Linked DNA regions of Drosophila melanogaster. The protein of the gene in region 2 interacts with the protein of the main gene of each other region in a pairwise test. Each region holds a gene or a part of one and is shown on either strand. Other genes may lie near its edges.

Evidence for each region. The genes of interacting proteins can lie anywhere in the genome.
Region 1: the proteins of maca (region 2) and RnpS1 interact in a two-hybrid assay, tested with the Drosophila melanogaster proteins (one large-scale study listed by BioGRID).

Annotation. Positions count from the first base shown.
Region 1 is NT_033777.3:9,548,996-9,557,126, reverse strand, and holds RnpS1 (RNA-binding protein S1), read right to left. Parts: upstream 5,094-8,131; 5' UTR 4,945-5,093; coding exon 4,943-4,944; intron 4,867-4,942; coding exon 4,705-4,866; intron 4,437-4,704; coding exon 3,476-4,436; 3' UTR 3,380-3,475; downstream 1-3,379. Other genes in the region: BckdhA (branched chain keto acid dehydrogenase E1 subunit alpha), read right to left, coding at 1-240, 357-522, 589-1,123, 1,184-1,252; CG9386 (uncharacterized protein), read left to right, coding at 1,738-2,002, 2,064-3,364.
Region 2 is NT_033777.3:15,491,492-15,498,895, reverse strand, and holds maca (maca), read right to left. Parts: upstream 4,295-7,404; 5' UTR 4,095-4,294; coding exon 3,339-4,094; 3' UTR 3,276-3,338; downstream 1-3,275. Other genes in the region: obe (obelus), read right to left, coding at 5,911-6,375, 6,437-7,404.

The sequences.
Region 1 (8,131 bases), 5.9 Mb from region 2:
GTACTATCATCTGAGGTGGAATGGTGACCCACTCGATAGGCCAGTGCCTCGAACACCACCGGCTTGTTCTCCTTGAGGACATACTCCCTGGCAGCCTTCATCGCATTATAGACGGCGAAGACGTCTGTGCCATCCACTCGAATGGTAGTAATTCCATAGCCCATAGGTCCGCGACCGGCGATTCCATCGCCCTTGTACTGTTCATGCGATGGTGTGGATATGGCAAAGCCGTTGTTTCGACTGTGGAGAAAGGTACGTCATGAAGAAACTTATTTGAATGGTATTTTTGATAAGATAAGAAATACATCCAAAATAGGTTATCTTATCAAAATAATATGTATCTTAAAGTTACTCACCAGAAGAGGATAGCCGGACAACCCAAAGTGGCAGCAAAGTTAAAGGCAGCATGTGCATCTCCCTCGGAAGCAGCTCCCTCACCAAAGTAACAGACCACACAGGCATCGTTGTTTGGCCTCAATTTCATGGCGTAGGCGGCACCAACGGCCTGGGGCATTTGGGTGGCTGCCATACAACAGAGAAACTGGATAAGCATTCTCTCATCAAATAAATAAGACTATATTAACTCACAAAGCGGACTGGAGATGGTGACAAAGTTAAGTTCCCTTGAGCCGTAGTGGACGGGCATCTGCTTGCCGCGACCCAAGTCGTCCGTGTTGCCGTAGCACTGATCGATAAACTGGTCGATACGGAAGCCACGCCAAACCAGAACACCCGCTTCACGATACTGCCCGTAGATGAGATCCCGCATCTCCAAGGCGGCGGCACTGCCAATGTGTGAAGCCTCCTCGCCGAAATTGGTCATGTAGAATGAGATTCTGCCCTGTCGCTGGGATTCGTACAGGATTTTGTCCATGGTGTTCAGCAGCACCATATCGCGAAACATTTTCTCCACAACCTCACGGCCCAGCTGGGGATCCTGGGTCTCATCCGCTATATAGCCATCCTGGTCCATCACCCGGTAAATTGGTATTGGCGCATAGTCTTCCGGTTGAATGAGGTTCAATTTGCTGACAAATGGAGCCTTGGCACCGGGGAAATTGGCGTAATCTTCCGATGGCTTTGAGCTGAAGTCCCGCGCAGCTGTCGAGATCGCTCCTTCAATCTGTCATGGGTAAAACCAAACAAATAACAACATACCCCTCTGATCACTCCAAGTACTGACCACTTTCAGGTGTCGTTGGCGCCTCGCCACAGAACCCAATAGGTGCACCGATTTTCGCAGGAATGACATGGTATATAATTTGTGTCTAATCTATTAAATGCAACAGGTAATTTTGAAGATTCAGCTGCGTGTTTCCCAGCTGATTACGCAACACAATACCATATCGATAAGTCTCAATCAATCGATGTTTAAGTGATTGGCTATCGAGATCTCCAAAAAAAATTTCTAATGGATTTTATTAAATTATTATTATTTTCATTTCCATTTTAATTGATTTATCCCGATGTTGAGGCTACATTTTCATATTGAAGGTTATACTACTGTATGTATTTACAATATAGTTTTCTTTATCTGATACATTTTTCTCATTAATAACTTAAAATAAACCCCAAGAATTAATATCCGTTTAATAATAACGATGGCTAACGCAGGATAATATGTTAGCAAGGGTTCGTTTTAAATACGCGCCAAACAAATATCGATAGACGCAGCTACCCATCGTGCGTATACTTAATATTTTCGTTTTCCTTGAGCCACCTTTCGCTTTCGACACCATGGCAGCAGTAGAAGAAGCACAATTCTGGCAAGCGATTGGAATACTGATCAAAAACTATCATGCTTTGAATAAAAAGATATTCGAGGTAGTCATTACCCAAGTGACAAAGCAGCAGAATGGGCGAGTGTGTGAATCCAGTGCGGAGGAGTTGGCGATGTCTCTAAAAGAGGATCCAAGCCAGCGCACGTGCACAGGATTTACGATCGGATTCAAACTGCTGTCCAAGAAACTGGCGGAAAACATCCTAGGCACCGGAATTGTGGGTGAGGATAATCACAATATTACTTACTTCTTAGACAATTCTTATTATATTCCTAATTACAGATTTTGAGAATTGTCTCTATGAGTGCCAATTTGCCAGCGATAGCATTGAAGGCTTTTCCGTGGGCCTCCTTGGAGGAGAGTTTAAACTGAAGTCCAAATCGAACACCAACTGGTTGGAATTTGTGCTCAGACCAAAGCTCTTAAGCTGGTCTCAGTCCAAGCAGGATGAAGCAAAGGTGAAGTCACTAGGTTTGGTTAATGTGGAAAAGTACAATGATCTGTACAAGGAGTTGAAACAGAGGCATTCACAACGCCTGCTGGAACACTGGAAGACCGCACAGGAGTCCACGGATCCGCTCAAGTTCATTTACGAGGATTTGGCTATCGCTGCTTATCTTATAGTTTTGTGGAGTCAAACACAATCGGAGCCCACTGCCTTCGCTGATTTGGGTTGTGGAAACGGTCTGTTAGTTCATGTCCTCAACGCCGAGGGCTACAAAGGGTATGGCTACGATATAAGAAAGCGAAAGCTATGGTCCCTCTATCCACCGGATACCCAAAGGAGCCTCATTGAAAAGGCCGTGGAGCCCAACAGCTTCCGCTTGGATTTTCCGGGTGTGGATTGGTTGATTGGTAACCATTCGGACGAGTTGTCTCCTTGGCTACCGGTTTTGGCTGGTCGTTTGAACATTAACTATTTCCTACTGCCCTGCTGTCCCTTTGAACTGTCGGGAGCCAAGTTTCGCAGGCGGAATACGAAGATAAGTGCCTACCAGGATTTCTTTCAATACGTCACTCAGGTCTCTCATGAATGTGGCTATGAGATCCTACAAGACCGTCTAAAAATACCAAGCACCAAGCGATTGGCTCTGCTGGGAATTAAGAGAAAAGCCTCAAAGGCTATTGAAGATCTGGAGTACTTTGTCCAAGAAGAGCTAAGAAAGTATAAGACCGGAGATGCCAAAATTAAGCTGCGCGAGAAGGAGGAGAGCGTTCGAAATTGCACGCAGGTGGATAAGACCATAATTGATGGTCTAGTGTTTAAGATCTTCAAACTGATTCTGGACTCTAACGAAGATAAATGGTCTGGTCGTCTGCCCATGAGAGAGATTGCCCAGGCTCTCACCAAGGAGGAGCTGAGTGGCATTAAATCCGAGTGCGGCGGCATCAAAACATTGCTGCGCAATAAACACGAAGTTTTCGAATTCTGCGGTGGTGATCTCATAGGAATAAGAACCCCTAAACCAACGGCTACTCTCCCCAAATCCCATTTGACCATCAAGAAACGTAGCTGCTTTTTCAAGCTTCATCATCCGCTGGGATGTCCTCTCGATGATGCTGAGTGCTCGTTTATACACTAAGCTAACTCTCTATGTGTGTGGTATTTGCTCACCTTTATTATTTGGATTATAATATAAAGAAAAGTGCAATAATCGTGTCAATTGTAGAAACTAGGAGTCGATCAGTGTCCTCTAACGAGAGCTGTCACTGCTATTGCTGCGGCGTCGACGACGAATGGGGGAGCGGGAGCGACGCCGTGGTGAACGCCGGTTCCTCATGGGTGACTGACGACGTCCGCCGCCGCCGCCACCACCTCCTCCACGATTGTTGAACCTATTGAACTGGGGTGGGGATCGCCAGCGGTTGTTTTGCGGACGGCGCATCGGTGGCGAAGGACGACGCATGGGCGGCCTCTGTTTTACTAAGACAACCGGGGATACCGTAATCTCCTGGCCATCTATCTGCCCGCCATCCATATGCTTCATGGCCGACTCACAATCCTCGGGTGTGGCATATTCCACAAACGCCACGCCGCGTCCGAAGTTAGGATGAAAACGATCTACGGGAAACTCCACATTCTTCACATCCCCAAAGCTGCTAAATATCTCGAACACATGGTCCTTGGTAACGTTGCGGGTAAGCCGACCGACATGAATGCGCACCTGTTTGGGCGAAGGCGAGCGAGTCCGCGAACGGGAGCGCTCCCTTCGCTTCGGTGGCGGCGTCCTCTCAACGGAGCCGCGACCACGACGGCGTGGCGATCGTGAACGACTGGCTGAGCGAGAACGCTCCCGCTTAACATTATTGCTATCGGCGGCTGCCCTATCGTTGGATCCAGCACGGCGGGCACGATCCCTCGACCGACTACGACGATCGCGATCTCGCTCCGGCTCTTTTCGCGCCTTGCTGCCCGGTCTTGGAGATTTGGAGACACGCCTGGGGGAACGGGTGCGAGAGCGGGAACGTGATCGGGCGCTGGGCTTATCCTTGTCTTTGTCTTTGCCAGCAGCGCCGCCGCCACGTCTTCGGTTCTTCTCGCTGCGATCCGAATCGCTGGACGACGATGATGAGGAGCTCGAGGAGTCGCTGGAGCTGCTTGAGCTGGAACGCGATGACCCGGAACTGCTCCGCGAAGAGCTGCTGTCCGATGTGCTGGAAAAAGTGAAGTGTTTTATTTACTTCTCGTAACCAAGAAAACGGCAATGAAGCTGGTACAAAGTAAAACACTTCCTAACTGTGATGAAATTTTACCATATATGGTATGTGAATTTTTACAAAATCTTTTCGCTCGAAGGCTATTTTCTTCCCGTACTATCTGCTACGTTTTACAGAAGAAGAAGGACTTCCTTTTAAAAGTAACCCTTATTCCGGTTGGCAGATGGCAGCCATTTGTGGGAAAGACCTTTGCCGGCTGATTTACCTGCTTCTGGAGTCGCTGCTGGAGGACGCCGATCCGCGGCGTTTGCGTTCGCGGTCCCTGCGCGAGGAGCCGCTGGTCGCCTTGCCGTCCTTCTCTTTGGCGACCTTCTCCTTGTTGTCCTTTTCCTTCTCACCCTCGCCGGCGAGACTCTGGGCACGCGCCCTGTTTTTTTTTATTTGTCGAGAAAAGCGAGCTGTTTTAGACCATTTAGGGAGCAAAATGTGGTGCAGATACTTACATTTTCGTATTGCCGATTTGTTAAACGATTAGTTTTATAGTACCGCACACTCTTTTAGGTGCAAGCTAAAATGTTTTTATTAATAAATCTTGTTTTTCTCAACTAGAGTTAAATGCGAGTAGCGTTTTCAGTGGAGATTAGTGTGGCCGTGTTTGTGAACGTGTAAATATGACAAAAAAATAGAATACACACTTATTAAAATAAAATCCAGTTCCTTTACTTTGCTATTAAAAAACTGTTTTGCGAATATTAAGAAGCATTTTTAGTTAAATATAAATAAATTTCTTTTATAATATGCTTAAATCTCAAATTCTAGTATACAAATGTTTCTAGAGTATTTGGGATTAAGATAACAGACACCACTTGGTAATTTCTCACAGTCTCGCCGCGGCCACACTCTTTGTCAGGTCGAACCCAAGGTAAACTCCCATAAAGCGTAAAAATTTAAGACCTTTCCTGCCTAGCAATTTGGACTCGATAGGAAGTAATAATGTATACCGTGTAATATGAATAGTGCTTGTTTTCGTAACGTACGAATGTAGTGGAATTACATAAAACGCAATTGATTTAAGGCCAGCACTTTTTTATCTGCTGGTGACGAAGTGGTTGTCATTGTGAGTTCACATCCGTGTGCCTGTATGTGTGTGAACTTGTGTTGATTTTGTCCATGCGAGCAAGCGAGATAGCAAAAGGGGGCCGCGGGGGCTGGCCACAGCCACAGAGTTTCGATTTTCCATCCATATATCTACACTCGCAGCGGAAACGAGAGAGAGAAAGAGAGTGTGAGAGAGAGGAGCGCCCCGTCTGGTCTGGGCACATTTTACCACACTGCGTCTTTGTCTGCCGTCGAGTCGGGAGCTCCGCGTCTGGTGTGTAGTATTATTATTCTTAATATTTCGGATTACTCTGCCTGTAGCTCAATAGCAATATTAAAACCCCGCCCCGAATGCTTTGCGTTGAAAAACATATCTTAGTGTGTGTGTGAGTGCAAAGTGCAGTTATGTTGTGGCAGCAGTCAATGCAAATTAACCAGTGTCTATACCTCAAAGGCACATTTTTTTAGCCCCATCATCGTGTTTTGAAACGCCACAGCGCAGCGTAATTGCCAAAAACCAGCTAGCCAACAAGAGTTTCGTTGGTATACATATCCATATATTCATATAATCAATGTGTGTAAAGAAAACGAAACTAAGAAAAGCGAAAAAGAGCATTCGATGAAGTTGACTGTCATGACTACGCAATAGCAACAACAATAGGAGCTGCCAACAGACACATGTATGCACAGTAGGTGGGTCCTCTCACGTGCTCTCAGTGCCGCTCTCTGCTCTCCCTCTCTCGGTTTCTTTGTGCATCGGTGTGAGTGTGTATGTGTGTTGGGGTCCGGACTCCATGGAAAAAGCGAATATTTTGATGCCTGCTTCCTTGTGTGTATATGCGTATATTTTTTATAATTTATTGTTTTAATTTTGAGAGGGCGTAGTGTGACCCCAACTCGAACACCGACCCTGCCCAAGTATGCATAGAAGAACGCGCACACACATTTGTGGTCAAAATAATAGTTAAATTACGGAAATGTAGTCTATTTACAATGTTGAAGGAGAGCACCGAAGAGGTCGCTCTTTATATACATACATACATACATAAGTATATGTTATCGCTGCATTAAGTCTTATAATCTATGTTTAGAAATGCACTTATCTTATCTTTATAATAATATTTACCACAAATACCCTGATCAAAGAGGGGTTTTATGCCGTGACACAGTCGTTATACGAAGAGGGTGCTTCCAAAATCTTAGTGCTTCCATTTTAAAAGCATCGAAATTTATGTTATGAAAAGAAAAAGAACTTCTTATGCTAAGAATATATCACTATATAATTGCGGAGAATATCTTTGGGGTACAAATTATAGAATTCCATTATATAATATATATAATATTATATAATATATATAATATTTCTACTTAAATGTCTGTTTTAAGCAACACTAACCTTCTTCTTAGAAGAAACTTTACTCCACTTCAACATATTCAAGTAACCATTTCTCAGAGACTACAAACCAAAAATAGTTTACAGCACTATTAGTTTAACTGCAACTGTATATTGAACCACAATTACAACCATTATCGTTATGATAAACAAGCATTTGTATATTGTACTGCCTGCCTATATTTTACGTCTAATTTGCATTACATTGGCATTAATACTCATTGGCCGCAATTAAAACCAGGCTTTATATATATAGATCTATATTTTAATATTATTCCACATATACATACATTTATTGCTAACCAAACTAAACCAACCCAAGTAATTAGTTTCTCAACTGAATGTAATAGCAATGTTTTCTTTTACTTTTATTTTCTTTGTTTTAGCATACATACAATATTTTATTGCTGGTTTTGGTGGTAAATTTGCATTGTTAACGGCCGCGGCCAGACGTGCCCCGCTTCTTTAACACACACGTCTCTCAAACGAATACCGATCATCAAGTGTTTCCCCTATTGACTCTCGTATATAGCAACACGTAAAAACCAATATATAGCGATACTGATACCGAAAGCAACTAAACCGAAAGTGTATACTAAATACATCCCCGTATGTACCACATAAGACTGCCATCTGCCCCTTGCGTTGCCGTGCCGTGCCGTTGACACTTTTGTATCTGGCCATATTCGTATCTGTATCTCAAACTCACTGACCAACTACTGCAAGCGCAAATGCAAATGTAATCTGCAAAATGCAAACTGCACACCTGAATCTCAGCGCAAGTCTTAAACGTTTAATCCTCGAACTGCCTACAATACCAACCAACCTATCAGCCATCCTGAGCCAATCAACCAACCAACCTATCAACGGTCTACCGCAACTGGCAAACCAAACAGCTTTAGTTTGTAAGCTTTAATTATTTTTTTTTTTTTTTTTGTAAACCTGTTAATTATACAAACAATCAAAGACTGAATAATTATTTGTAATTGTCCTCTGTTCTCCTAATGGTTCCCAAATACGGTCGATCTCTAACCCATCAATTTAAGCTATATACTATATACGACAACACGACTTTGTCACACTGTTTGTTTTACTTTGCACATGTTCGTTTTCTATTTTACGCCTAGTATTTACTATATTACCTACCTATAGAGCACACACACACACACACCCACAACACATGGCCCATGTACGTTAAGTG
Region 2 (7,404 bases):
AACTTCCGCTTGTTTGCCGGGCGGCTTAGAAGACTCACGAGCTCACGCACTGCCATCACAATCACTACCCCACATCCGGCAAGACAAATTGCAGATTGGTAGACTCGGCTCGAAGGACCATCTCGCCATCTAGCCAACTCACCGTCTCTAACTCGATTCGCCTTCGGGTGCGTGGAACAAAGAAAAATCCATATTTTATTTTGATTATTTTCCGGCGCCACGGCAGGTGTCGATTTCGTGTGATTTTTCTTTGGGGCGAAATTAAATTTAGCCAGGGACTCCTCCTGCCCCCGCTCCAACCACCTAACACTCAAATCAGCGTCAATCAATTTTGGTCGCTTTCGTCAGACAAAAACAAGCCTCAGCCGCCCATGGAAGCCCAACCACCAGCGTTTCCCTTTGTAATGGGAAAAATTATTGAATTTGTCAACGACTGCCACAGGCGCTGGGTCCAAAAAAAAAAAAAAAAAAAAAAAGAATATTACGACGAAGGACGAGGACTTTAAGCTTCCCCAGCCGGAATCAGCATTAAAGAGCTGCGAGATTTATGCGACTGTTGTAGGTGTCAGGCAAACAGAATTATGTTTGGAAACGATTTTCCACCTTTGCCGTCATACATCATCGGGGGGCACAACTCCGCCACAAAGCCTGGCAAAACAACCCTCCAACGTTAACAAATTTCTTTGCGACGTTTTTAAATTTCAGTTCAGACATACACATATATATTTATTTTTTGATGGAAGGGAGCGGCTAATGTAAATCGCATGTGCTGTGTGTATGACCTACGCCTTATTTAGTGAAGCGCCCCGCACACCAGAGCCAAGTGATTTGTTGACAAAGAAATTTTTTAATAATTCACCGAGTCTGCGAGCGGACGGAAATCTCATTCGGCATAAGTGATGATGTAATTTTCGCTAAAAATTGAAAAAATCCCCACGCAAGCAGGAGCGTTTTCAGCGTTGAGGTGGGGTATTTGATGGGGGGGTTGGAGCTACTACGGTAACCCCTCACGTAAAATATGTTGCAACAATATGTTGAGTTAGAGTCGAGTCGAGTGTGTGCCGCTGACGATGATGAATGGGGCACGCATGCGTTGCACTGATTCCACTGTCGGTGTGACGGACTGCCTGACTGACAATCCCGTCACGGATTCCGGCAAATTATATGACCCTTCAGAGGTCCACGCAGCTACTTTATCATTTCGGGTGACCAAGGTCATAATGTACTCAGGTGCCACGATCGCCAAGTATGTAAGGATAATGGAGCACCTTATCCATTGGCCAGCTGCTCTACAAGCATCCAATATTCCAGCTTCATTTACTAGAACTCAATAGATTACACATTGCAGGCGAGTGAACCCTGTAATGGCTATCCATTACCGGGGACCTGCAACGGTCAACGTCAAACCCCAGGCCCAAGAAACTCCCTTGGAATTACGCTGATGACTCAATGTGTTCCTTGGGGAGGAGTAAGTCCTTCCCCCCACTGGAAATGATATTCGGAAGCTGGACAACTTTTAATGCCTGCTGTCGATGGTCATGTGCATAGCTCATTAGTTTTTGCCTAATTTGAAAGGCAGCCGTTCCCTTCCTGGCCTAATGGAATTCAATCAATTTCCATTTATTTCGATAGCGAAAGTCGCACCACCGAAGGACCCAATGAGGGCCACAAAAGTGAGGTCCAGAGACGGGAACTGAAAAATTTCTTAATTATCCTGACGTGACGCTTGTGGGCGTCTTGGTTGACAAGCTTTTTAGCCTCCTCCGCTTTTCCTTCCCCTGCCCATTTGTGGCCAGTCTGTTTTCCTAATGCTCGCGGACAAAGAAAGACAAATGAGTCGGAATCACTGCGGGAAAATTGTGGAGTAAAATACTTTAAGACTGGCAAAAATTGCACCGAAAGTCTGCGAATTGAAGGCTTTTCTTAGGATTGGAAATAATTTAAACATAAAACATTTTATAAAAACTTCTGTTGAAAACAATATGCCACAAATGTCAATAAGACAATACAACACGAGGCAAGATGGAAAAAGGAAATCCCCGAAACACTCGCAGCCAGAACGCCAAGTAAAAAAAAGGAATGAAAATGATGAAAAGCGTATAATCTGCTTATCAAGAGGCTGCAGCCCTTTTTCTTGGAGGTCTCCTCCTTTTTTTTCCTAACGCAACTAGGGAAGAACTCAACTGTTCCAAGAAAAATGAAATGAAAACTGTAAACAAAAGGGATGTGAAAATTTGATTTGCATTTCCAACACAAGATGAGACTGGAACTCAATTGTTCTCATTTTTAGGTTTCATTATGCTTTGTTGTTTGGGTATATACACACATTTTTCATAAAATTCTAGTTTTTACAAAGCGAACGATTTTCTCTAAGCTTTAAACAACTGATTTTCTTTAAAATTTTATGTATTAAGCGTGCTTTTATGCAAAATAGGAAGTCCAGGAGGCACATTAATTCAAAAGAGCAACACAACCCATACAACCCTATATAAAAATGTAGTTATTGGCAAAATCCTCCATATTTTATTGCCGAATCCAACCCAGAGTTTATGTAACTTCATTTAAACTGTGACCGTCAAAAGTGCATACCACAGTCGTGCATGAAGGGTCCTTGTAAAGCAAAATCTGTAAGTTAAATCTGAACTGGAACCAGAGACTGAAACAAGAGCAGCAGTCGAAGGGGATACCAGCTGGGTAACCGGAGGAGGAGATACCGATTCCGAGATGCAGGGGCAACTTTGCGCCTCAATTATAATGAGAAAAGCAAACGAATTGGAAATAATTTTCAATTCACTTGTTTCCCACCTACTTTCGTAAGTCGTTTCGGTTCATTCGGTTTGCGATCTTCAAATATTTATGCGCCCTTTGTTTTCATTATTTATTTGAACCGCCAATCCTTTGCATGCATCCCGCAATCGAAATCAAAACCCGAAACCGAAACCGAATCGGACGCTCCGCACCTTTTTTGGCCAACTGGTGGCCCCTGGCTAAATCGAGGTTACCAGGCGACTGATAAAGCTGTTAATGCTTTTTAGGAGCCGAGGATCTCATGTCCGTAGGAGTGGCTTGTTTGCGAACGATAAGCCCAGCTCCTGCGGCAATTTAATGAATTATTTATGTAAGGCCAAAATCAGAGGGCAGCCAAATGCATAACCGAACGAATGCGTTAAGACCAAAATTAATTGGACCGGACTACCTAAAGGAAATTGAGTATACGACAAAAGTGCAAAATCACAATTTGTTCTTCAGCTGAGGTTTAAAAAAAGGTGTTCCTTACAGGTTCTATATATATATTAATCAAATTAATCAGCAAGTTCTATCAAAAATACGCATAATGATTAGTCCGAATCTCGAGAACGCTTAGACACATGATGATCGTTCGTCCTCTCGCGACGCTTGTAGGGTGGTGGGGAAGATTTACGCTTGTCCTTATACTGGGAGCCACTGGAGGTAGAACTCGAGCCTTTTTTCTCGCGCTCCACGAACTTGACCGTCAGGGGCCGGGAGGCGCCTTCGATCATGTACCGATCCATGCCGTACTTGGCCACCTCGGCGTCGCGGACCAACTCAAATTGCAAGAAGGCCACGCCACGGGACCTATTGTTGAACTTGTGGCGCAGCAAGTTCACATCCACGATGTTGCCGTAGGTGGCGAAGAGTTCTCGTACCTTCTTCTCATCCATGTACGTGGGCAGGTTCCCCACGTACAGGCTGGAGCTGGTGCTTTCATATTCCGAAGGTCGGGCGAAGGCCACTTTCAGTCGCTTGCCGCGAGTCTCGTAGCCATCCATGCCATTCACGGCAGCAGCCGCCTGGCGTTCCGACACGTAGTCGACGAATCCGTAGCAACAGCTTATGCCAGTCCTGCGGTGGCGGATGATCTTGGCCTTGCGGATCTCACCGAACTTGGAGAAGAGACGGTGCAGCTCAGACTCCGTCATGTCCTGCGGAAGGTAGTTGAGGATCAGGTTCGTCTTCATCCGCAAATTAGGGAGAGGAGGGGGCGGATCCACTGGTCTTCCAGTTTGGAACATGCCGCGTATCCCGGCGTATCCCCAACATAGCGTCGGGACGGATGACTCCTTCTTGGTCATTTTCTCTGCGCTATAGATAGAAGCAAAGGTGAAAGATGACCGCAGAGATCTTATGCTTTCTTCGGAATGGGATCCAAATGAAACACTTGGCGTAGAAAATTTTAGAATGATTATAATATCCCAAATTGACTGAAAATTCTAAAAATACTGCAAAGCTGCCCTTCCAAATGTTAAAAGTTTTTTTTCAGAATGTGTTTGACAATGACTTCCATGACAAACAGGATAGCTTTGGTCAACAATTACTTGGTTATTTACCAACACTAATACATTTATACTTTTGTCAACTTACGTGGTGTCAAGAGTTGGCTGCCTTGAATTGAACTTAACTTAAATTCTATTTGAATAAATACAATAAAACTTCATCTGCATTAAAGAACTATTTAACACATAAATACGTATGCAAATTAAATAAATTCCGCCTTGCGAAATCGCTGATTTGGCTGAGAAGTTTGCGTGCCAAGACAAAATGAAACCCTTTATGTGCACAAGGTGCAAAAGTTTTTGAAAAGTTTTCCAGCTGTTTATTTATTTGTTTGCTGATTATGGAATTTCGACATTGCGATTCGAAGGTGGAGCACTGCACAGAGGAATGTAAAAAGTGTGCAGGTGAAAATTAAATTGGATACGAGTATTGTGCGATTTGGGGAACCGACATGGCACTCGAGGCCCATCGATTGGATCATTGAATGTTCCTTTGTTTATTGCCAAAGTAAACTTGTTCATTATTTCTTTTTGTTTTACTTAGCCTCATATTAATTAATTTCCATTTCCGTTTCGTTTATCTTGGCTACGCCGATTTTTACCTTCATGCTGACTAGACAATTAATCAAGTTTAATTACTCGACTGCTGTGGGAGGAGGCCAGCTCCTTATCCTAGTCGGCGACTCCCCGGGGACCAGCGGATCCGCATTTGCCCGATGTGGTGGCCATCTGCATTAATCACTTGAATATGCTTTCATTTCTCAGCGCCATGTGTGGGGCAGAAGGGCAGGAGTGCAGAAGCGTCCAGAAATGGTCAGGACTCGGATAAAACCCGCCATTAAAAGACGGCGCACGTAGAAATACATTCGGATGAGGTGGGTCGTTTACATATTTTCACAGCGAAAAACGTTTCTGACTGGAATATTGGGACTATTTAAAAAGCCTATTTCGGTCTTAACAACTAATTATTACTATGCATATAGGCTTAAAGCTGTTTAACCTGTTTTATTTTTTTATTTTATCATTCTTAACTTTCTTAGCTTACTTTGTCATCACCCAACTTAGAATTATATAAATCAATTAATACTAATAAAAGTTTTATTTAATGCTGTCTCTTGGTACGTTTCCTTTTTGACACGCACCATGAACTATTTTCTTCATTATACAAGTGAACGTTAGGTGCCGCCACTGTGCCACGTAGAATAAATGTAGTTAACATGTCGATAGTTATGGATGGCTAAGTGGTATTTATATTGATCACATAAAAAAATTAAATTGAAAAACATAGCTGCGCTTTCAATACAAATTTTATTAACTTTACACAATAAAAATAGTTACTTCATAAATTCATAGAAAGTGATTCATGCATGTAGGTGCTACATGGTTGGCTAACAAAGGAGCTTCGTCTCGAAGCAAGTTACTAATGATAAAAATGTTATACATGTCTTGGAGGATCACACAATAAATACGCAAGTTCAGTTTTACTACGAACTCTAGGTGATAACAGTGATTGTGGAAAACGTTCATAGGCGATATGAACTCCATTAACTAAAAGTTAAGCCTCAACTCTACAGAATGCTACGGTACACTTTAGATTTAATCTCTAGTAGGGCCCTTAGACTTCTTTTGCATCAATGATCTCGAATTGCAGGTCGTACTGCTGGTCAAAGCCCATAAGGCAGTCGGACATTAAATAAAGCGTAAGCTGTAGACGTCCAAGTCGCGGAGTTGCCTGGAACGAAATGCGGTTGGTGCAGCGCTGTCCGCGAATGGATACACGCTTCATGGCGAGGAGCTCGTCGTTGGCCTGGGAGCCCAGGGTCAGGAACCACGCTTCATTCTTGGGCTTTGGATACTTGGGGCAGTGCACCGTGTAGCTTTGTCCACCACCTCTTCGCTGTCCACTGACATTAAGCCGCTGCAAGTTTACTATGAGAACGTAGTCCTCATTGGCATGCAGGGACATCCATTCGCCCCTCGTGTCATCAGAAAGTGAGAGCGGTCGCTTGGCATACTCATTCTCCATATGCCGACCCTCTACGAATATTTGAATTGCTATCTCGGGCAAGTCTTGGATTACCTGGAAATGTTTAAAGTACCATTTGAATATCGTTCAGCAATTTGGTTAATTCGAATCGTACCTTATACATCTTTTCGATCTCGTGCTCCTCGAAGGCATCTCGCAGTGGCTTCGCCAGTACTTCGTACTCTTGTTTGCACAGCTCCTTCAGCACGGGTAGTGTTAAGTAGTCATAGTCATCGTGTGGTATGTTCAAAAAGGCATCGAGATTGTCCTCGTTCACTCCTGGCAACGTTAGGAACTCACTACCGTCGAACCATCGGGCCTGAATGACGCTCTGCATCAGTTGCTGCACAACCAGAGTCGTCGAGAGCCATCCCCGCTCCGCTGTGTAGTCCACCATGGCTTGCATCACTCGAGTGGCGTTGTCCAGAGCCGACTTTGTGTCTGTTAGGTAATCCGAATTCGGAAGGGACTGCCGTGCAAAGTGGGCCTGGAGTAGCAGGAAAGTCTTGGTGTACGAAGAATCCCAAGACGATGAGGGCGGTCTAAAGCGGCTTACTTCAGCCATTTCCTCATTGTGCTTATCCTCGTTGTGCCGAACAGGCAGCTGATCAAATTCATAGGAATCGGCTATGGCGAGGAGAACTTTCTTGGTGTTCATGCCAGGCTGCAAATCCTCCAGGAAATGCTTCATTGTGCGGTACGACAGGTAGTAATAGGAACTGATTCGCCCCAAGAATGTTGGTATCAGACATCCATCGCGCTCCACCAGACAGGCAGCGGCAGAAAGCTCATAGACCACGCGCTCAACCAGATTGGACATAAAGTTATTTACATTCTCCGGTTCTATGTCCTGCAGTTGGTAATACGACGGGTTTCGGAGCAATCTCCTGAAGAAGTACGTCCACGTAAGATAATCCAGAGCGGCCTGCTTTGACTGAACAGTTCCAGCAACGATTTCAGCGTTTATGTGCTCCGGTAGCACTCCCAGCAGACTGGACTCTACCGGGAATGGATCGTACAGAAACTTTTTGTAGAAATTCTTCTTTTCGTCGTGCACCAGAACGACGGCCACACCTTCATTGT